Canis lupus familiaris: one gene and its partners. The protein of the gene in region 1 interacts with the protein of each later gene in a pairwise test. Links are inferred from orthologs where the notes say so. Each region holds a gene or a part of one and is shown in the gene's direction. Other genes may lie near its edges.

Region 1 (7,398 bases):
AGCCTTTTGTGCTCCAACTCCAGTTCCTCAGGCATACCAAGATCTTTCATGCTACTGTGCTGCAAACAGGCTGCTCCCTTGGCTGGAATGCCCTTCCGCCTCTTCACTTGCCTCACACAGCTGAGCGTCACGCTTTGGAAGCCTTCTTGAACCCCTCCTGGCCTGAGTTTTCATTACACTTTTATCTTGATCACTGGTTCTCAAAGTGTAGAGATGCGTATTCTTGGACCTCGCCCCCGATCTCTTGAATCAGAAATTCTGGGCCTTGGGCCCAACAATCTGTATTTTAACAAGCCCTCCAAGTGAGTCTGGTGTGCACACAAGTTTGAGAACCACTAATCTTGACACCACAGCGTACATAACTGCTCACTGGCACTTTTGTTTCCTTCCCTAGTCTGTAAGCAGCTTGAGGGTAGTAACGCCCAATACCTGGGACAGAAGGAGGCAGAGAGGGTGCTCAATAAACATTTGCTGAACAGATTATAAGGCTGGATACACACCCACACAGCCATAATTAATGACAGAAATGATCAGGAATCCGATAGCTACACTCTGTGAAAAGATAAGTCACTGAGAAAGCAATGAACATAACAAGCCTAACAGTAACCTTCTCTGAATATACACATACAATACGCAGTCACGTTGAAGGGGAAGCACCAACAATCAAGATGGCGCATCCCATCTCACACAAAAGAGAAACATACGGAATGGGGATTAACATGCCACAGGGGAGAGATGCTACTGTCATCAATAAATGCCAACACAGCAAAAGAGTGGGGGAACAGAGGAAGTGCACAGCAGAGCTGACCCTGTGGCATGCACTGACCTCCATGAACACAGGCTGTCCACAGCCACTGGAGAGATCAGGCCAGGAAGGTCAGCAAGGTAAGGCACATGGGGATGGTTCTCTGGGGAAACAGAGGCCCCGTCACCTTTTTCTCTAATGTATAACATTAAGTGACCTCCTCTGGAGCAGAAATGTCCAAGGACTTATAAGCGCATGGAGTGCCAAATGGGTTAATGTGCAGATGACTCACAAAATACACTGCCAATAAAATTATGAAATAAATAGTATGTGTACCCAGAAGCACAGATGCTGTGGAAGGGCCACATCAGTGTAAACATGATAAATATGTAAAGGAGCATGCATAGGTATGGTGTGAATCCTGACTGGGAAAACACATGCAGCCAACAGGCCAACCCAATCACAACAGAAGTGTGCACTAGTCCACTAAACCACAGGATCCCCCACACGAAGACTACCACACATGACAGGATCATGGACATAATAATATATGATACATGAAACAAAACAAATAAGGGATAACCTTTACATGCAAAAGTAAACATGCAAAAGCATAAAATGTGCAAAAAACACAAAACCACACAATGGATGCAATATATAAAAACTCACATTTGAACAATGTCAAGACTGGACAAGAGACATGGACATAAAGATAGGAGAATGGGCAATTCTGATGGACAATAACATCGTTTGTCCACAGTCCACGGAGAGCACAGGGAGAGGCTAGCCGCACATAAGCCACTAAACATGTCAAAGGCACACGGACTCAATGTAGAAAACATGGCCCCCCACAAAGCATCTGTGTCAGTAAGGATCTAGTCCAGTGTGGATGGCCACTGAAGAAGGTCCTGTGCCCAGATGAAACAGAGGTGTCTGAGGGCATTTCTAGGAAGCGAATTCTGCTAGGGGAAGGAGGGCAATAAACCACCTTCTCCCGGCTACAACCCCTCAAGAGTCATGTGGGGCCAAAGGGCAGGAAAAGGAACTGGGGAAGGTGTCAGGAATTCCCTCTTCAGGACTCTGTCCACACCCCCATCCCAAATGCACAGGGTTTTCGGATCTCCTCCGTCTCTCTTCCATCCTTCCTCCCTCAGGGCCCCTCTCCTTTCCCCAGCAAACCTCTCCCCAGTCCGCCTCCCAGACCCAATCTCTCCCCCATCCCCTCTCGGCACCCTCCTCCCGCCTCCTCCCATCCCTTTCCCGCCCCCACCTCAGTGGGGTGGGGGGCCCGGGGAGCTGGCCCCCTCCCCAGCCAGGCTGCGGCAGCGGTGGTGGCGGGTGGCTGTGTCTCTGCCTCGGTCGGGGTGTCGGTGCCAAGGGGGCGACAGGATTTGGGGGTGTCCTAGCCCCGGCCGATGGAGGGGAGGTGAGAGTGGGAGGCTGGGCCCATTGCGGGAGGAACGGTGGGGGGTTATCCCCCTAGCTCCCTCCCTCCCTCCCTGCTGTCTCTCTGAGGCTGGGGCTGCTGCTGCCGCTATCCCCCTACCCCTCCCCAACGCCTGCGGGCTTCCGGGGCTGGCCAGGAAGTAGGGGGCGGTGATGGGCGGCCCGTCTTGCCAATCGCCTCCCCGAATCGACCAGTTTCCTCGGTGGCTCCGCCCCGCGAGAGCTCGGCTGGGCTTTGCCGGTCTCCGGCCTTCTCAGGCTCCAGCTGCATCTTTTTTTCCTCCAACTCCCTTTCAGCACACATGGCTCGTGTGTCCCTTGGTGCTGTATTCCTTCCTTGGCCCATTCCTTCTTCATCAGCTCTCCTCTTCCTGGGAATTTCACTCGGTTTCTTCCTTTCTCCTTAACTCCCTTATCTGCTGTATATTCCCTCCAACTCCCGACTCCTCCAAAAACCTCTTTCCTGTTCCCAACTCCGGATATCTGCAGGTGTCTACTATATGCCAAGTACTCGTCTCCTCCCCGTGGCTCCACCTCCCTGGCCCCTCCAGCTCTCGCTGGCTCTCTGACTTTTGCCCTCCCCGCACGCAGTCCGGCTCCCTGCTTCAACCCTCTCTCTGGTCTTTAAAGAGAAGAGGTACTCTCGGGCCCTGTCCCTGCCCCTGTCCTTCCACGGTCTTTATTTAACTTCAGTACTTTCGCTTTTCAATTTCCTTCCTGTCAGTCTCAATCACTGAAGCTGAGACAGTGCCTCTCCCCAACATAGAATCTGGGCGGGCGCATCTTTTCCAGTAGAAACTGGGTATTAGGGTTGCTTTAAAAAAAAATGAGAAAGAAACAAAAAAAAAAAAAAAAAAAGAGAGAGAGAGAGAGAGAGAGAGAGAAAGAACGCTAGATTACTCTGGGACGAGCATGCCTCCTGAATTTTGTAGGCATGTATCTGTTCCCTGTCCAGCCTCTGACCTCCTCTCGCTCGTCTTTCCACTGTCCCTTAAACCAGGACCATTGCGTTGCTCCTCTCCTTGGTCTACACCCCTTCCCCTAGAACTTTTCTCCTAAGCCTTTCCCGGCATCCTGTACCTTCACTTCCCCCGCCCTCCTCTCACCTGGCCTCCCTGGTCACGTGAGACCTTTATCTGGGTGCTGACCTGCCCTCGGCCCGAGTCTGTCCCCGCTGCCAGACACACATTCGCCCTGCTAGAATTTACACGCCCTGAGGTCGAGGATGTAAGGAACACTGGTATGGGAGGACTGTTACCTAGTTCTGCTCCTTGGGCCACAGTGAGGTCACTGACTGTAGAGAAGGCCCAAGCTCGGGCCTGCCCAAGTCCCGGGGGTCCTACCCAGGAGGAAGACCCCACTTCTGCGGGACACACTACAGGACGGAAGGGGCGGGCCTAACCCCATTCCGCCGCGGGTCGCTCAGGAGGGCGGGCCTTGCCCCCTCGGCACCTACTCACGAAGGGGTGGAGCTAGTTCGCTTTTCAGGTTTAAAACGGGGCCGGGGTCAACTCTGTCATCCTGTGTCAACGTTAGAAAGGTGTGGGCCTTGAGATCTGTTCTGCAAGTCACCTAAGGAGGAGCGGGCTGCGTCCCGCAGCCGAGGGAGATGGGTTAACACCAGCGCCGCAGGTCGATGCTCGCACCACCCACACGTCGAGCTGATGCCAGTTCTGCTCCCTTCTTCACTGAAAGGGAGGGGCGAGCCCCAGTTCTGCCCTCTACGTCACCGAAGGAGGCCGGAGCCATTTTGAGCCCTGCGACCATAGCATTTGCTACCTCGCCGAGCTCTCGGCCGTCTTTTCCGATCTCGGCCAATCAGGGCTGCAAGAAACTAGCCAATCAGCCCGGAGAGACCGCAGTCGGAGGGCCCGGATGAGGCGGCGCTGATGCCTTTGAACCCCAAAGCCCGCCAATCGTAGAGCAGTCACCACGGCGACAAGAGCGCGGCGAGGGGGTGGGGCCAGAGAAAGCCGAGCACTCTCGGCCTGGCCCGCCCCTTCCCGCCGCCTGCTGCGCGCGCGCACTTTGCCGAACCACCATCTTCCGTCGAGTTCCAGCCAATCCAGAGCTTCGGAGCTCTACGCTCCAAAGTCCAATAGGAATCCGGACGTTCTCGGAAAGGGGAAGTGAAGCAAAGAAAGGGCTCGGAGGAGGCGGGGCCTGTGTGGTCCCGGACCAATTGCTTCTGGCCCTTGGCCCTGACTGGCAGCTACTCAGACGAATCAAGCTCCCCGACCAGGTCCAACGGACACCAATTCTGTCGCATGGCGTCCTGACGGAGACGCGCCCGCCAATCGTCGCTGGCAAGGGCAGGCCTGCGCAGACCTCTCCCTACCCTTTGGGCCAATCCTGGCTTTTAAACTGTGTGATTGTCAGCCACCCAGACCAGTAGTGTTTAGACAACCTCGAAGCCCGCCCAACGGTCGTGGGCTGGAGGCGGTTTCTCGCTGTTGGGGCGTGTGTGTGTCTGTGTGTGTGTTTGGGGAGACCGAGGGGTACGTGAAGGCGAAACACCGGCCATGGCAGCCGCGGAGGAGGAGGACGGGGGCCCCGAAGGGCCAAACCGCGAGCGGGGCGGGGCGGGCGCGACCTTCGAATGTAATATATGCTTGGAGACTGCTCGGGAGGCTGTGGTCAGCGTGTGTGGCCACCTGTACTGGTGAGGGTCCGGCCGGGGCTGAAGAGAAATGGGGCTCGCCCCTTACTGGGGAGGCTGGGGGCGGGATGGCACGCATACGGATAGTCGGCGGGCACATCCCCGTGGGCGAGGCCCGAGGTCTCTGGGAATGTGTGGGTGAGAGGGTCACATCTCCACGGAGGAGAGCCGTGTGGCGGAGAGCCCTAGGAACTGGGCGCTGAGGGGTGTGCTGTGGTTAAGAGGCAGCAGGGCGGGGTGGTGGTGGGGGAACTACATCTGTCCAGGTGAGACCCCAGCCGCCTTACCCCGGAAAGTGACGGTCTTAGTTGTACAGGTGGAGATAGATTAGACTCCAAGGTTAGAGGAGGCACGCCTTAGTCGGGTACGGGAGACCGAGGGAATGTAGGATCGCATGCAGATGAGATCTTGGTAGGGAGTGGTATGACAGACCTGAGGACCAGGGCACTGAGAAATGAAAGGATGGTGGAAATAGGGACTTGATGGAGCCTAGAAGAGAGGAAAAGGAGTAGTGGGGGCAGGTGCTAGTAAAGGGGGTTTGGTTGAGGAGTGATGCGGGCAGGGCTGGGGTTGGGGCTGAAACAGGAGATCTAGAAAGCTCTGGTTGAAGAGACCTGGACACTAAGTTCAGAGGCAGAAAAGGGAGGGGACATGTGTGTTCAAGGAGAGAAGAGCGTTGAACCTCGGAGGATGAATATTACTTTAGACGTTGTAAGATCAGAGAGGTGGGAAGGCCAAATTGGCTGGCATGGAATAGGTTGTCAAAAACATGAAAAGAAACAGCAGGTAATACCTGGGAAGAGGGGTGCGATCGGACTCTGAGGTCAGGTTCGTGTCTGTCTTTACTGTAGCTAGTTTGACCTTCTTTTTTTCCCCCCATCTAGTTGGCCCTGTCTTCATCAGGTGCGTACTCAGAGGAGATGAAGAGGGAAATGGGGAGGTCTGAGGAGTTGAAAAACCCTACTGTGAACTGGAAACCACTTCATTTTCTCCCTCAGTGGTTGGAGACCCGGCCAGAGCGGCAAGAGTGCCCAGTGTGTAAAGCTGGGATCAGCAGAGAAAAGGTTGTCCCTCTTTATGGGCGAGGGAGCCAGAAGCCCCAGGATCCCAGGTGAGAGAGAGGGGGTGGTGCTGAGGGAAGATGGACTGCTTCTGGCCTGGGAGTGGGGCGTGGAGGGGGAGAGGACATTCCTTGCTGCTAGCCCTAGCCAGTCTCTCATTCCTCAGATTGAAAACTCCACCCCGCCCCCAGGGCCAGCGACCAGCTTCAGAGAGCAGAGGGGTGAGTCTTGTCTGATTTGTGTTCCTTCCTTGCCAAAGACCTGCCCAGTTCTCCTCTGACTTTCTCCACCTCCCTAGGGATTCCAGTCATTTGGTGATACCGGGGGCTTTCACTTCTCATTTGGTGTTGGTGCTTTTCCCTTTGGCTTTTTCACCACCGTCTTCAACACCCATGAGCCATTCCGTCGGGGTACAGGTAAGAAGAGCCTTCCCTCAGCTCCAAGCAGGGAGCCCTCTGAGTCCCCTCAGGCCTTTTCCCAACCTAGGAGTGGATGCTTCTCCCACAGCTTTCCTTTCTCCTACAGGTGTGGATCTGGGACAGGGTCACCCGGCCTCCAGCTGGCAGGACTCCCTCTTCCTGTTTCTCGCCATCTTCTTCTTTTTCTGGCTGCTCAGTATTTGAGCTTTGTCTCCTTCCTGCCCACCTCCAGCCAGAGGAGAATCAGTATTGGGGGTCCTTGCTGACCCTTCCTTACTCCTGGCCCCTCCCTCCCAACCCCTCCGTTTCTACTGGCTAAGGCCAACCCTGGCCACTTTGTAGGAGGGTGTGGGGAGGAGGTGTGACATCTGTGCAGAGGATGGGAGAAACTTCTGCCCTGAACTCGCTGCGTAGCATCCTAACTCCCAGCTCTGGGACAGGAGGACAGACGGAAGAGGATGTCTGTTTCTTCCCTCTCCTGATCTTTTGCTTTCCCCCACATTTGTTGATTTGATGTTGAAAGATGGGCAAGGCTCCCACTGACTCTCCCCTACTTTACCCCTGTTGACTTAATTTTTCTCTCCCCAGTGTCTAATATGGGTTCTGATTCTTAAGTCCTTCCTTCCCTTCACTACCTCCTTTATTATAAATTCAATAAACAAGGTGAGATGTACTGATGGGAGCTCTGCCCACCTTTGTCCTTACCCCCTTCCTTCCAGGACAGGAGCATCTCCCCAACTTGAGTAAATATTTGCACGGTGTGGGGAAGTGTGAAGGCTTTCTTCAAGGCTCTGAGGGATTCAGAGGGTGAGGGCGTCTCTCTCTCTCTCTCTCTCTCACAAACACACACACACAAACACACACAGAGGCATCTTTCTCACACACACACACACAGGCGTCTCTCACACACACACGTGTCTCACACACAGTCATCTCATACACGTGTCTCACACAGGTGTCACACACAGGCATCTCTTTCTCAAACACAGGTGTCTCTCACACACAGGTCTCACACACAGTCATCTCTTACACACAGGTGTCTCTCACAGTCATCTCTCACAGGTGTGT
Region 2 (7,083 bases), on another chromosome or scaffold:
ACACATATGGTGGTATCCTATACACAATATGGACTGCATAGTGGTTTTTTAAAAGTAAACTTTTTCTTTTGGAGTAATTGTAGATTTATAGAAAAGTTTCAGAGATTCTTGTACACTGTTCACTTCTCCTAATGTTAACATCTTATATAACCATAGTACCACATCAAAACTAAGAAATTAATATTGACACAATACTATTAACTAAATTACAGGATTTATTTAGATTTTACTAGTTACTAGTTAGGTCCTTTCAGTTCTAGGATCTAATCCAAGATACCACGTTGCATTTAGCATATTGCTTTTTTTTGCCCTTAAAATGTACTTTGGGGATTGTCTCATATCAGCTAATATATAGTTGTCTCATTCTCTGGAAGGATTGTAGAATGACTTCCTAGAAGTAGAATTTCAGAGCCAATGATTATGTGTATTTAAAAACGACATGGGGCGCCTTGGTGGCTTAGTCGTTTAAGCGTTGGATCTCTATTTTGGCTCAGATCATTATCTCAAGGTTTTGAGATGGAGCCCTATGTCTGGCTCCATGCTAAGCAGGGAGCCTGCTTAAGATTCTGTCTCTCCCTTTCCATCTGCCCCTTTCCCTCTTTCTGTCTCTCAAGAAAACAAACAAACAAACAAACAAACCCAAATCCCTCTCTATCAAAGAAATGACCATACTCTCCCAAGTTGTCCCCCTGTGATTTGAATGTTGCACGTCTCCTTGAAGTTCCAAAATTAAGATTGGGGACTGAATGAAGTTGATAAATGTAAAGTACTCAAAACACTTCAAAATAATTATTTTTATTTATTTGTTTATTTTTTCAAGGTTTTATTTATTTATCATGAGAGACACAGAGAGGCAGAGACATAGGCAGAGGGAGAAGCAGGCTCCCTGCCGGGAGCACTGATGCAGTACTCTATCCCAGGACCCTGAGATTACAACCTGACCCAAAGGCAGATGCTCAACCGCTGAGCCACCCAGGTGCCCCCCAAATAATTATTTTTAATATATTGACACAAATACACATAGCATTGCAATGATTTACATTACACCAATAATTCATTGTACCGTGACCCACATGTATAACCTCTGCGGACCACTAGGGGGCTCTGCTGGAAGGGTTTTTTATAATTTATATTAGTCCACTAGGGAGGTATTTCCAAATGATGCTTTAGAATTCTGACCTCTTAAAACCTGAAAGAGAACATCTAGTCCAGCTTCCTTATATTACAGATGAGGAAACCAAGGTTGGCCAAGATAGCTAGCATGGAGTAGAGCTGGAATCAAAAATTTCCTCTTGGTTCCGATGGCAGAAGTTCAAGAACTTTTTTTCCATGTGCCTCCACTTGAATGATTCACTGCCTGTGAATCACTTTGGTGCCACAATTTTAGTAATTCTTGCTAAGACCGTGTATTTGTGATATTTTTCTCGGAGGATACTTTACTAACTGATGAGGAGAAAGCAGCTCATGAAATAAAAACTTCTAAATAAACTTTATTACTTTATTCCAGAATGTTCTATGTAAAGTACCGCTCAGCACCAAAACCATATCACTTCCTGAAACCCTAGCAACCATTTTCAATTTGCCTTTCAAACTTACTATATACTTAAAACATTTTTCTCTTATCTTCATTTGTTCACTCAATATTTATTGAGTGCCTACTAGTGCGAGACAGTCATAGGCCCTTAGGTTTACAGAAGTAAAGCTACCATTCCTCCACAAGAAGCATCTATTTCTCCATTTAAAAAAATATGTATTTATTTATTTTATTTCTCCATTTTCCACTTTAACATACAAACTATTTTCACATGTTTTAGTTTAGTGGTGCTGGTAGTGTGGTCCCTGAACCAGCAGCAAGAGCAGCAGCATTTGAGAACTTGTTAGAGAAGCAAATTATTAGGTCCACCCCACACTCTAGGGATGGGGTCTAGCAACCTGTTTTTGTTTTGTTTCGTTTTTTTAAACAAACTCTTGAGGGATTCTGATGTAGATTCAATGTTAAAAACTTAAAAAAAAAATGTCACTAGTGTCAAGGTTAAGAAACCCTGTTCTCTTTTTTTTAATTTTTAAAAAAATTTTATTTATTTATGATAGTCACAGAGAGAGAGAGAGAGAGGCAGAGACACAGGCAGAGGGAGAAGCAGGCTCCATGCAGGGAGCCCGATGTGGGACTCGATCCCAGGACCCCGGGATCATGACCCGAACCCAAGGCAGCCGCTCAACTGCTGAGCCACCCAGGGTGCCCCCAAGGTTAAAAACTCTTACACCTCGGTACTGATGATCTAAGTAGCTCAAAGATCAACATCTGACTTCGAAATCTACCTCAGGCATCTACATGGAGTTACCTGTTTCAAATACACCTGATGCGACCCAACAATGACCACTTTGAATTCAGCGACGTGGAGTATCTGGAACAATCGCGTTAGTAGTGGCACTTTAATGGCTTCAGAACAAAAACGGACCGCCGTGGGATTTTTCTGGGCCTACACCGACAGAAAATGGGCCGGATGAGTTCTGGAATGGTGTTTTCGTGCCCTCGACCCAGTCAGGCGCAGCAAGCCCGGGGGTCCTGGGTCTGGCTGGGTCAGGACGGCGCTCGCAGCCGACCGGGGCCGCGAGAACCCGCTAGCTCGCGCCCAGCCCTCCGTCAGAGGCCGCGGGTGGGAAGCCTCGGCCGCACCACAGCGATTTGGAGAGGGGCGGAGGCACCCGAGAGGACCCGGGAGGCCCGCGCAGGGCCGGCCAGCGCGGAAGCCGCACCCTCCTGGCCTCAGACGCCGGCAGGGCGGAGCCACGCGGCCGCAGCTCCGGCAGAGACGCGCGGCGCAGCGCGGCGCGGGCTCGCGTTTGAGGCGTATGGGGCTACAACGGGAGCGGCTGCGCCGCCCGGCCGGGTCAGCGTCTTGCGCATGCGCGGACCCGGCGCCATTTTGGTGGCCGGGCGCGGAGGTGATTCCACACTGAGGAGAGCGCGGCGGCCGGGTGGCAGTGGCAGCGTTCGTGTGCTCGGGTGTGAGTCGCCGAGGGAGGAGGCGCTGGTGGAAGAGGTGGCGGCGGTGGCGGTGGTCGTAGCGGTGGCGGAGGAGGCGGGTACGAATCAGCTGCGGGCGGAGACATGGCCAACATCGCGGTGCAGCGAATCAAGCGGGAGTTCAAGGAGGTGCTGAAGAGCGAGGAGGTCAGAAATGAACTCCCAGACATGCCCCCACCCCAGCCCTGGGCGGGAGGGTGCTCCCAGCGGCGACCCCGGCCCCCCGGTAACCCCTGGGTGGCCCTCTTGGCGGCCGCCCTTTCTGCCTGTGGGGAAGCAGCAGTCTCCCCCCTGCTTCCGTCGCCCTCCCCTCCCCTCCCCGGGCCCTGGGATGGACAGTCTCGCGGGCGGGCGGTCTGGAGAGGAGCACGGTTTGGGGGGCAGATGGAGAAGGGGGCGCCTCCTGGAGGGGTGTGAGCTCTAGAGAGAGCCCGAGGCCGTGGCAACAGCTGGAAGTGTGGATGTAGGGTGGGGAGGGAGCAGGCCGGGCCTGAGAAAACCCGGGAAGTGGGTTGGGGGAAGGGGAAAGGTGGTAACTGGATCCCGAGAGCCGCGCCGCTCCGAGGCCCGCACTTTTGAGGGTTTTCTACGTTACAGCCTCTTTGGCCTCCACTGTCCTTTTCTTTTGGGAAGGAGCGGTAAAAAGACCTTAGGTACTGATGAAAGAAGGACGTTTCAGAGTTACTCCCTCCTTAGTTCGGTGTTGGGAGAGAAGAGGAGACGTAATGGGATACTATTCTATTGGAGTGGGGAATGAGGGAATTTTCACCTGAGGTAGGGAATTAATTCCAAAATAGATCATTATCTCATTTTTCCCGACTTCCCCCCCCCCCACAACCCTTCCTTCACCCCACCCCCAATTCCTAGGCCTCTTTTCTGTTGACATCTAAAGCTTTTTGATTGGGTCGAAGGCATGTTGTTTGGTGTATTAAAGGCATTTAGATATTTTTCGATAGGAAAAAATAATGGAGGGTAAAGAGTAGCTTATTTCAAAATATTGTTTACAAGTTACAGGTCAGAGTCTCTCCTAAGACAATGCCTCTGTGACTGTTGTGTTATGCCATGAAACTTCATTATGATGTCTCTCATAGTTAACTTGATTCTTACTTTTGAAAAACCAGCCCTATTAAAAACATGGGATTTCCCCCGGATTAATATATTATTATACCTCCTTATTGAGTAGGTTTGTATCATAATTGAAATTATTGGAAACACTTTTTTTTTGTCTCAAGCTGCTCTTGAGTCCTGCAGAATTTAAATACTCTGCTGTTTGCCATATTTACTTATATAGTATATTCAGAATATTCTAGTGATTTGACTCAAAACTGTACAAGGATCAGTACAATTTTTTATACCCACAACAACAAGAATGCCAAGTTTTTCCTCCTTGGATTTAACAAAGAGAGAGATGAAAAAGTAATACTGAAATAGTTATTATTTTCAAGATGTCACATACCATTATTGGATGTATCATTACTATTTGTATTTTTCTTTTATGTTGGAGCGTTGATAATCTCAATGATTTGTGAAATTCAGCATTCTAATGAGTAATTGACATAAGTGGCAATACTTGAGCTTTATTTATGTCACTGATTCTACAGTAATCATTTCTCCAATTAGACATGGAGAATATAATTCTTTAAGATTAACTTAAAATAACAAATACTAGCGATTTACTAATGTAGTAGTCTATAAGAAATGATCTGTTTTACAGAGCATGTGTATGAACTCTGACCTCTGTATTTGTTCAAGAGCCAAAACTCTGAATGGAAGGATGACTTTGTATTTTTGTGGTACAATGCAGAAATAGGATCATAAATGTCTGTACTGATATACAGTGAAACAATGATTCTAACTTTTTATTCGCAAGAAAATATGTTCCAGGATAGTCGACATATATATAATCCTATGAAATATTCAGCTAATACTGTTGCCAACAGCCTAAAACATTTCTTCTGTTAATAAAGTTGTACAAGCCTGAGACTTAATATGACTTCTTTCTAGTGCTTTATTTTCTATTAAAAATGGTAAGTTACTGCTCTCAATTCATATGGTCTCTTTGCTTCGTATGAGGTGACTTTCACTATATTTTTAGTACTTCAATTAAAGCTTAAAAGAAATCTTGTATCAACTCTAGTATGCATATTGTTAAAACAATACTGCTCTGTAAGGGATGTTGAAGTCTTGCTTCAAGTAAGCATTATGGTATTTCAGAGAAAGAGAATAGGAAATGCTAATAAATTGTTTTAAGAAGAGTACCTTTATAAACCTGGAAGGAAATTTCTTCTAGAAAATAAATTGCAGAGTACATTTAGGAAAGGGTCAGATAATTTAATCTTGGATTATAACCAATAAATAGCTTTATTTTCATCGATATTTTAGTAGGTCCAGTTTTATAAGTGGATTGTGTTGATTATTTTCAGCTCATTGAATGACTTGTAGTAGAGTCCACGTGTTTTCCTTTTTAAGTGTGGAAATGTAGTATTTTGAGTGTCTGGTCAAGTAATTAAGTATTTCATCATATCATCTACATAAATCTCTAGGTTTCCCAAAGTTTGTTTCATATGGTCTTGTTTACTAAGAATACTGATTGGTTTAAGGAATTTTTTTTTTTTTTTGTCTTTTGTTTTCTAAAGATAGCTGATGTTTGCTGAGTTCTAACCATAAGAGGTTATAAGTAGTCACTCTTGGAGTGTGTTAATTAAAATCTAGGCTTGAAGATAAATCAAATGTGAAAAGCTAGGTGCAGAATAGTGTGGAGGAGGCTACCATTTGTATTGGAATAAGGGGGGAAATATGTGTATTTTTCTCCGTGAGAAATTGGAAAATTGATTACTTCTGTATGAGGGAATTGGGTGGTCTGGGGTAATGGGCATTAAAGGATCCCTTTTGAGTTTGGAGTCATGCATATATATTATTTACTTAAATAAAATAATAAAGGCATCTAGGTCTTTTTTCCTTGAGACTGTTTGGAAATCCATCCTCTATGTTTCAGATACTAATTTTAAATCTGTGTGAATTTTAATATTTCAAATTGCCAGGAATGGAAAATTGATTAAACTACATTTTTTTTAAACTACATTTTATAGTTATTTTATGAGTCGAATTACTAAGTGAAATGTTGATTGTGAGGATATAATAAAACCATAATTTATATTCGGGTTGTATTATTGTTGTTAACAACTAAGCACCATTTGTAGATTGACTCTTAATAACATTTGTTTATGCATTCTTGCTAATTTTCAGGAACAGTTCTTTGAATTAGATTTCCTGTTTCTTCGATGAGGAAATTGAGATTCAAAGAAGTTAAATTATTTGTCTGCAAGCATGTAGCTTTGGGACTTAGATCTAGGTGTGCTTGTGTTTATATTGTACACAGTGTCATTACTTTCCAAGGATAGGCATGCTTTAATTATTTAAAAATAACTGAGACTGGTTTGTATTACTGATTAAAGGATATAAACACAACCTAATTTAATAGTTTAAACATTAAAAGAAGTATTACCTGTTAAGTAACTTAAATATTTATTTGCATGTCAGTATGCAAAGTACTTTAAAACATATTTTTTGTTGTTGTTTACTTCAGAGAGAAAGAGAGCACGCATGCTTACAAGCCAGCAGGGGCAGGGGGCGGGGTGGGGGGGTATGGGGCAGAAGGAGAGAGAGAGAGAATCTTAAGCATACTCCCCTGGACCTCAGAGCCCTGATGACCTCGAGGTCATGATCTGAGCCAAAATCAAGAATCAGATGCTTAACCGACTAAGCCACCTAGACACCCCTGCAAAATACTTTTAAATTTGAAACTCAATAAAATAATATGTCCCAAGTCAATGCTCAGACTCTTGGGGTTTTTGTTGTTGTTGTTATGTGTTATCTGTAGTTTTTTCATATTGTAGCTGTACTTTGCTAACATTTGCTATGATTCTAATAGAGTATATTTAGGCAGCCCAGGTGGCTCAGCCCTGGTGGTTTAGCACCGCCTTCAGCCCAGGGCCTGATCCTGGAGACCCAGGATCAAGTCCCACGTCAGGCTCCCTGCATGGAGCCCACTTCTC
Region 3 (7,225 bases), on another chromosome or scaffold:
ACTGAGCACTAGAGGGTGTTGGGAGTTCAGCAGCGAACAAGACCATCCTTTGGGAGCCTGTGTACACCCCAACACCCAGTCCTTGTTCCATCTACCAGTTCCAGTCCATGAGCTTTACAACTCAGAAGGCAAGAGGTACTAGAGAGGGAAGCAAAAATATGGTAAGACTCCACTGGGAAAAGCCAATCTTGCAACCAAAGACAAAACCACATAGACTTTAGGCCTACACTAAGCCCCTAAATCCCTAGAACACTGAGAGCTGTTTAGTTTGTTGCCAACAACTCCTCACAGCTGTAGGGGGACTGCACAGAACACACTCTGGCTGAATGTTAGAAGAGGCATTTAATAACCAACACAAGCAGTGAGCAAGTGCAGCTCTCACTGATCACGGTGAAGAACAAGTCTCACTTTGATGCTGATGTGTCTTAAAGCTTTCCCTGAAGTTGGTTAATATCTGTCTTGAACAAAAACATCCGGATTTAGGCCCAGAGCCTTTGGCAGGTAACAGTATAGGACCATAGTTTAGTATCATTTGCTTTTTGTTCCCATTACGTTTCATTTCTATATTCACTTATTTCAGTATTCAAGTTTTATTTATGGCTAATGATAGCAGCATTTAATAATTCCTGGCAAGATGTTGCTAGGATCCAATACAGTACCCCAAGTTTGAGGATTAAGGCACAGGGTTGGGAGTTACCATTTGAATCATAGCTCTGCCACAGCCTTGGAAAAATCAGCTTTTTGAACATCACTTTTTCCATTGTAATGAAGATGTTGATTTACAAGATGCTCCCCTGTCCCAAAAATAAGGATATAAAAATCACCATGTGTCCAGCATACCCACAATGGAAAGTCTGAGTACCAAAACTGAATGACAAAATACATGAACTCAAACGTCACAGCAAAGATGGTTGCTTCATCTCATGGGGGTTTTTTTACTTTTCTTTTTAGTAATCTCTATACCCAATATGGAACTTGAACTCATGACCCCAAGATCAAGAGTCAGTCTTGCTCTTCCCACTGAGCCAGCCATGGGTCACCTAGGTTCACGGAGGTAATCTCATTCCTCTATCCATTTTTAAAGTAGGGTTATCACAACCTAAATACCAGCTCTGTAGACTAACCTATTCCATTCAATAGTATTCTGGGTTTCCAGGGTGACTGAAATAATAATCTGTGATTCCATAGTTAATTCCAGATTTTTTAAAAAAATGCTTTATCCTTCCAAATCAGTTTGATATCACTGTCATATGTGGGGGGGGAAGGTTTTTGCAGAAAGATTCCCTGTAAAATCTATAGTCATACCACTGGCAATCTCCTAGTTTGCTGTAGTTTATTGTAAAACATTACCATTTGGGGTAAACTGGGTGAAGGATACACAGAATGTCTTTGGGTTATTTTTCCACTTTCTTCTGAAACTGCTTTTTAACTTTATTTTGAAATAATTAAAAATGCTACTCATGAAAATGAAAGAAGATAAACATTGCAATTCCAAATTTAAAGTGAAAATCTGGGGGCACCTGGATGGCTCAGTGGTTGAGTGTCTGCCTTTGGCTCAGGTGGTGATCTTGGGGTTCTGTGATCGAATCCTGCATCCGGTTCACCACAGGGAGCCTCTGCCTCTCTCTCTCATAAAATAAACTCTTTTTTTAAAAAAATAAAAATAAAGTGAAAATCTGAATGGTATTAGGAGAGCTTTGGAGTCACCTGACAAATGTGGTACCTCGGTGGAGGGACTGGGAAGCTCAGTAAAAAAGGCTTATATATATATGTATAAGGCTCATTATTAACTCTGGCAGTGATAAACATTACCTGGTCTTGTCGCTTTGCTCTCCCCCAACTCCTTGACCCAAGGTTAGGCCTAGACCAAGCTAACTCTGAATCAGCTTCAACTAACAAGGAACCAGATGAGCGGGAGAGAGGCCGGAAAGGTTGTGAAAACCCAGGGAAAGAACACTGTGCACATAATTTATTTAAGTCACTCTGGATCTGAGGCTAAAACACAGCGGATGCCATCCCGGGTGGACGGTCAGCCAGCGCTCCGCGCCCTTCCGGATCCAGGCCTGGGTTTCATCTGGGGACCTCCGACCGCACCAGGGAGTCGGCCTGGCTCAGGGCGAGTTTGTCCTTCTTCTCCTTCTGCAACACCTGCTCTTCCCACAGCGCCTGGTCAACCTGATCGTCTGTGAGCACGACGGGCTTGTACTTCTCGTCGAAGAGGCGCTCGTTCGTCTCAGAATGCAGCTGATGGGGTCCGACGACGCGCAGATGGGCCGGCAGGTGCTGGAACTCCTCGTCGTTGATGTCGCAGTCGCGCATCCGGGCGGCCAGCACCCACCAGCGGCCCACGAAGCCCACGTCCAGGATCCGGTCCGGGAAGTCGGCCCAACGGGGCTGCAGGTAGCGGCAGCGAGCCTGGTAGAGGCTGGCCTGGGCGTCGACGGGCGCCTCGTACACGAGCGCGCAGAGGCCCAGGTTCACGTGGCGGAGGCGGCCGCGCCCCCGCAGCCAGAGCAGCCGCTGCACACAGTCCTCGGAGGCGCGGTTGCGCGTGGCGGGGGCCAGCAGCAGGAGGATGCCCGACGCGTCGAGCAGCGCCTCCTCGAAGGCCGCCTCGCTGGGCGCCAGCGCGCAGCAGGCCGCCGCGCCCCCCAGCAGCCCCGCGTACACGGCCGCCCGCCAGGGCCGGGCCCGCGCCGCCGCCGCCGCGTCCCCGCAAGCCTCGGCGTAGTCTCGGAGCAGCACGCGGGCCCAGGCGCCTGAGGGAGAAGCGGAACACACAGGTGAGAGCAGGCCGCCGTGGCCACCCTCCCGCCGCCGCCCGCCGCTACTCACCCAGCCGCGCCCACACGCCCGGCTTCGCGGCCGCCGGGCCACCAGATCCTTCACGGTTTCGGGACCACAATCTCTTCAGAGCGGCCGTCGCCATTCTCTTCCGGCTCAGAGTCCGTTTTCCGAAGCGAAACGCCTCGTGTGCGAAGTAAAAGGCCCGGGGGCCTCCTGCGCCAGCGTCGACGGTGCCGGAAGTGGCTTCCCATCGGAACAAGACGGAACTCGGACCGCTGCCGGATGTTGCTGTCGGGTCGGAGCGCGGCCGGCGGAGGCCGGGAGGCGGGCCGCGCAGGCGCAGAGAGCCTGGGCCACGCCGGCTGAGGGAGCCTCAGGTGAGGGGGGCGGGGTGCACCTGTGGGGCGGGGGCGGCGAGGTCACCCCCCGCTCGGTGCCCTAGCGGCCTGGCTGGGCTCCGGGCTGAGGGATGGACCTGGGGGGAGGGGCACCGAGTGTGGTTGGGGGCGGGCGTCATTGGCCTCTGTCCTCAGAGCGGGATGCGGTGACGCCCCTGAGCGACCATGGCAGCGGCCGACGAGCTGGCCTTCCACGGTGAGTGGGCGGCGACCTGGCCCGAGCTCCTACTCCCTCCGCCGCCCGGACCCTCCCACCCGGGTGCCCGCCGACAGCCGGCCTGAAGCCCCGACCCTGACCCGAACCCCGCTCCCAGCCTGAGCCTCGGTCCCAGACCTGACCCCATCCCGGAACCAGCCTTAAGTGGTGGGCCCTTGTGGGGCGGGGGGACACACCTTACAACTCCCCAAAACTTAGGAAGCTGGGCCCTTAGGTAGCCCCAGGTGGAGTGTTGTCCCCCAGCCGAGCAGTGGGCCAAACCAAATTGTCTTGACTCCCAAAACATGCCTTTGTCCCGTATTCCTTCTCCATAGAGTTCGAGGAAGCTTCTAGTCTGCTGGCGGAGACCCCAGATGCGGCCACCACGAGTGGCCGCGGTCAGCTGGCCCCACAGGGGCACGTGGCGGTGGAGGTGGACTCGGGTGGTATCTACGGATCTGAGGAGGCTGAGGAGAGTGACAAGACTGCGGTGAGAGCCTCAGGCCCTGCCTGCACCCAGCCCTGCCCCCGCGCTCCGCCCAGGCGGGAAGGGCAGCCGCTGAAAGCCCATGCCATCCCTGCAGCTCCTGCAGGAGGAGAAGCAGCAGCCCGGATTCTGGACCTTTAGCTACTATCAGAGCTTCTTTGACGTGGACACATCCCAGGTCAGGCCCGGGAAGCTGGTGGGATGGGGCCTGCGGTCACACGGGGGTCCAGCCACTGTTCACTGAGCCCTTCCTAGACACCAGAATGCTGGTGATGCCCAGGCGGTAGGACACGGGCCCCTACACGGGCTGGTGGACTGTGGTGCGCTGTCAGGATTATGGTGTGATGGGCTCGTGGGAACACAGTTGCATATAGTCACGCAGGTTAGAGAAGGGCCTCCTGGAGGAGGTGAGGAATGTGCAGAGACGTGAAGGGAAGCACGTATGGCAGGTGCAGGGAACAGCAGATGCAGAGGGCCAAAGGTGAGAGAAGGTGTCACGAGCTACCTGTCACTTGATCTGGTTGGAGATTGAGGTGGGGGACAGGCAGGCAGAACCCAGACCACAAAGGCCTCGTACGCTGTGCTAGTTTGAGTTTCATCGTGAGGGTGCTGGGGAGCCACAGAAGGGCTTAGAGCGGGAGAGGAATGAATTGAATTAGGAAGGTGGCTCAGAGACCCCAGGCCTTAAACCTGGGGTGCAGAACAAGGAATATAGTGGAAAGAGAGGTAGGCAGGAGGATGCCCAGGATTTGACTGTTCCCCACCTCACGGTCCAGGCATGTCACAACATAACAGGCTGTTCAGGGCAGCCAAGCTAAGAGAAGGGAGAAGCAAGGAGAAAGATGACCAACCCGGAAGAGTCCTTGAGAGCAGTAGCGCGCTAGGGTATTGGGGCTGGCCAGGGAAAGGGGCATCAAAAACTCAGGGAACATCCAAGCTTTTTCAGGCAAGGAGATGGGAGCTCAGCAGGGAAGGAGCCCCTAAGGGCAGGAGCTTAGCCCTTTCCTCTTTCTTTGGTGGAGGGATGTGTGTGTTGGCCCTGTGCAGGCTCCCATTCTGGGCCCCACCTTGTCCCCAGGTCCTGGACCGAATCAGAGGCTCACTGCTGCCCCGGCCTGGCCACAACTTTGTACGGCACCATCTGCGGAATCGGCCAGACCTGTATGGTGAGTGGTGGTGTACGTTCAGCTCGATAATTCATTCAGCACATGTGGACCGAGTGCCAGCCCATGGATTCCAGCTGAGAAGAAAGTAGGGGCACTCCCAGAGGGCAGGAAGCACGCATTCCATCTGGGGAGACAGATATATAGAGGCTGCTGAGGGCAATGGGGCTCAGAAAAAAAGCAAACAGTTTAGAGGATGGGAGTTGCCATTTTGCATGGTTGAGACAGGACATCTCTGAGGAGGATGCAAGAATGGGCCTTGTTAGGGATGAAGGTGAGGAGACATAGGGGAAGAACATTCCAGAAGGGGGCACAGGTCCAGTGGTGGAGCAGTATTGTCACTGGAGCAGTGAGCTGCATGAGGTCGTAGAGGTGACAGGAGAGACTGTGCAGATTTTGTCCGTCTCAGTGAGAAGGGGTCTTAGTTAAGGACTCTGAGGCTTCCTCTGGCCATGGGGGGCGGGGGGGGGCAGGGGCAGATGCCAGGAGACCAGAGAGGCAGTGCCCGCCACCATGGTACAGGTGTGGGGTGATGGGCCCAGCCCCAGGTGGAGAGCAGTGGTTGGACTGTGAAAGAGATCTCATGGCAGAGCCGACGGGACTTCCTGACACCCTGACACGCCTGAGGTCGGGCGGGAGGAGAGAGGCAAGGGTGGCTCCTGGATTTCCATCGGGACTGCTAGAAGGATGGGACTGTCATTTACCAACTGGAAAGGCTGGGCAGGCTGGAGTTGGAGAGACCTAGACGTGACGTGGAAATGCTGACTATAAAGCCAGTGGTTCATGGCACAGACCAAATTTGAGACATTTGGGAGTCATCAGCCTGGAGGTGACCTAAACCCCTGAGGCGGGACAAGATGGTGCAAGGGGTGAACACAGAGAGGATGGCTGAAGACCGGCCCTGGCTGGGTCCCCGTTATTGAAGGGGTTAGGGAGTCCCAAAGGTTGGGGAATAGCCAGGAATGTGACATGCCAGAAGCAGGAGCATGAAGTCCTAAAAGCACATGGGGAGTGGTTCCAGAAGAAGGAAGCGATCAGCTACAGCAAAGGCGATAGAAAAGTCAGGAAAGCTGAGGGACTGAGGGCCAGCTCTGGGATCAGCCAGCCCAGGTCATCAGTGACGGGGGGTGGTGTGCAGGTAGCCCCGAGCCTAGAAAGCAGCTGGGGTCCCAGCACAGTTGAGATGGGACAAGTCTCCTGTTCGGGGAACCCTGGGCCCCTTCCCACACCCTGCCCTGCCCACAGGCCCCTTCTGGATCTGTGCCACGCTGGCTTTCGTCTTGGCCATCACTGGCAATCTGACGCTGGTGCTGGCCCAGAGGAGGGACCCCTCGATCCACTACAGCCCCCAGTTCCACAAGGGTGAGTGAAGTGGGCTAGGCCTGGCACCTGCCGGGGCTGGGAGTGCACAGAGCCCCAAGGGTGACTGCCTGCCTTGCCCCGCGCTCCACAGTGACTGTGGCTGGCGTCACCATCTACTGCTATGTTTGGCTGGTGCCGTTGGCGCTGTGGGGCTTCCTGCGGTGGCGGAAGGGTGTCCGGGAGCGCATGGGGCCTTACACCTTCCTGGAGACCGTGTGCATCTACGGCTACTCCCTCTTTGTCTTCATCCCCACCGTGGTAAGTGCGGCCCAGGGGTGGAGGGCACCAGGCATCATGGGGAAGGCCTGGTAGGCAGCTGCCCATGTCGCCCCCAGGTCCTGTGGCTCATTCCGGTCCCCTGGCTGCAGTGGCTCTTTGGGGTCATGGCCCTGGTGCTGTCAGCCGCCAGCCTGGTGTTTACCCTCTGGCCTGTTGTCCGAGAGGACACCAGATTGGTGGCTGCGGTGCTGCTCTCGACTGTCGTGCTGCTCCATGCCCTCCTGGCCGTGGGCTGTAAGGTACAGACGGTCACGACCGGGGCGGGGGACGGGTGCTGACCCCCCACCAACACTGACTCCAGGGGCCTCGGTCCAGTTTTATTTCTTCCAGCCCCTGCCTCTGGAGCACCTGGCACCGCCGGCCCAGGCCACGTCTCTGCCTGCGAACCTCTTGCTGCCACCCACGTCGAGGCCTAAGGCCACTTAGGGCGGCCGAGCCTATGGGTAAGGGGCTGCTCCTGCCTTTCCTCCCCGTCTCGAGGAGTCCCAGGGCTGCTCCCAGGAGTCTCTCTCTTTCAGGCCCAACATGAGGGGACACCTATGCCTGCCCTGCT

What was found. The genes of interacting proteins can lie anywhere in the genome.
Region 2: the proteins of RNF5 (region 1) and UBE2K interact in binary tests that used the Homo sapiens proteins (3 or more experiments, as listed by UniProt). The link is inferred for Canis lupus familiaris from reciprocal best matches to the Homo sapiens genes RNF5 and UBE2K.
Region 3: the proteins of RNF5 (region 1) and YIPF2 interact in binary tests that used the Homo sapiens proteins (3 or more experiments, as listed by UniProt). The two-hybrid records come from large-scale screens. The link is inferred for Canis lupus familiaris from reciprocal best matches to the Homo sapiens genes RNF5 and YIPF2.

Annotation. Positions count from the first base shown.
Region 1 is NC_049233.1:1,699,907-1,707,304, forward strand, and holds RNF5 (E3 ubiquitin-protein ligase RNF5), read left to right. Parts: upstream 1-4,548; 5' UTR 4,549-4,713; coding exon 4,714-4,853; intron 4,854-5,734; coding exon 5,735-5,753; intron 5,754-5,848; coding exon 5,849-5,961; intron 5,962-6,077; coding exon 6,078-6,132; intron 6,133-6,209; coding exon 6,210-6,327; intron 6,328-6,436; coding exon 6,437-6,534; 3' UTR 6,535-7,003; downstream 7,004-7,398. UniProt on the Homo sapiens protein: Membrane-bound E3 ubiquitin-protein ligase that mediates ubiquitination of target proteins. May function together with E2 ubiquitin-conjugating enzymes UBE2D1/UBCH5A and UBE2D2/UBC4.
Region 2 is NC_049224.1:73,348,449-73,355,531, reverse strand, and holds the start of UBE2K (ubiquitin-conjugating enzyme E2 K), read left to right. Parts: upstream 1-2,879; 5' UTR 2,880-3,112; coding exon 3,113-3,175; intron 3,176-7,083. UniProt on the Homo sapiens protein: Accepts ubiquitin from the E1 complex and catalyzes its covalent attachment to other proteins. In vitro, in the presence or in the absence of BRCA1-BARD1 E3 ubiquitin-protein ligase complex, catalyzes the synthesis of 'Lys-48'-linked polyubiquitin chains.
Region 3 is NC_049241.1:50,723,735-50,730,959, forward strand, and holds the start of YIPF2 (protein YIPF2), read left to right. Parts: upstream 1-3,021; 5' UTR 3,022-3,164; intron 3,165-3,320; 5' UTR 3,321-3,350; coding exon 3,351-3,381; intron 3,382-3,716; coding exon 3,717-3,871; intron 3,872-3,965; coding exon 3,966-4,046; intron 4,047-4,946; coding exon 4,947-5,034; intron 5,035-5,042; exon of another isoform or gene 5,043-5,069; coding exon of another isoform or gene 5,070-5,158; intron 5,159-6,276; coding exon 6,277-6,393; intron 6,394-6,484; coding exon 6,485-6,651; intron 6,652-6,728; coding exon 6,729-6,911; intron 6,912-6,973; coding exon 6,974-7,115; intron 7,116-7,190; coding exon 7,191-7,201; 3' UTR 7,202-7,225. Other genes in the region: TIMM29 (mitochondrial import inner membrane translocase subunit Tim29), read right to left, coding at 2,071-2,759, 2,836-2,929.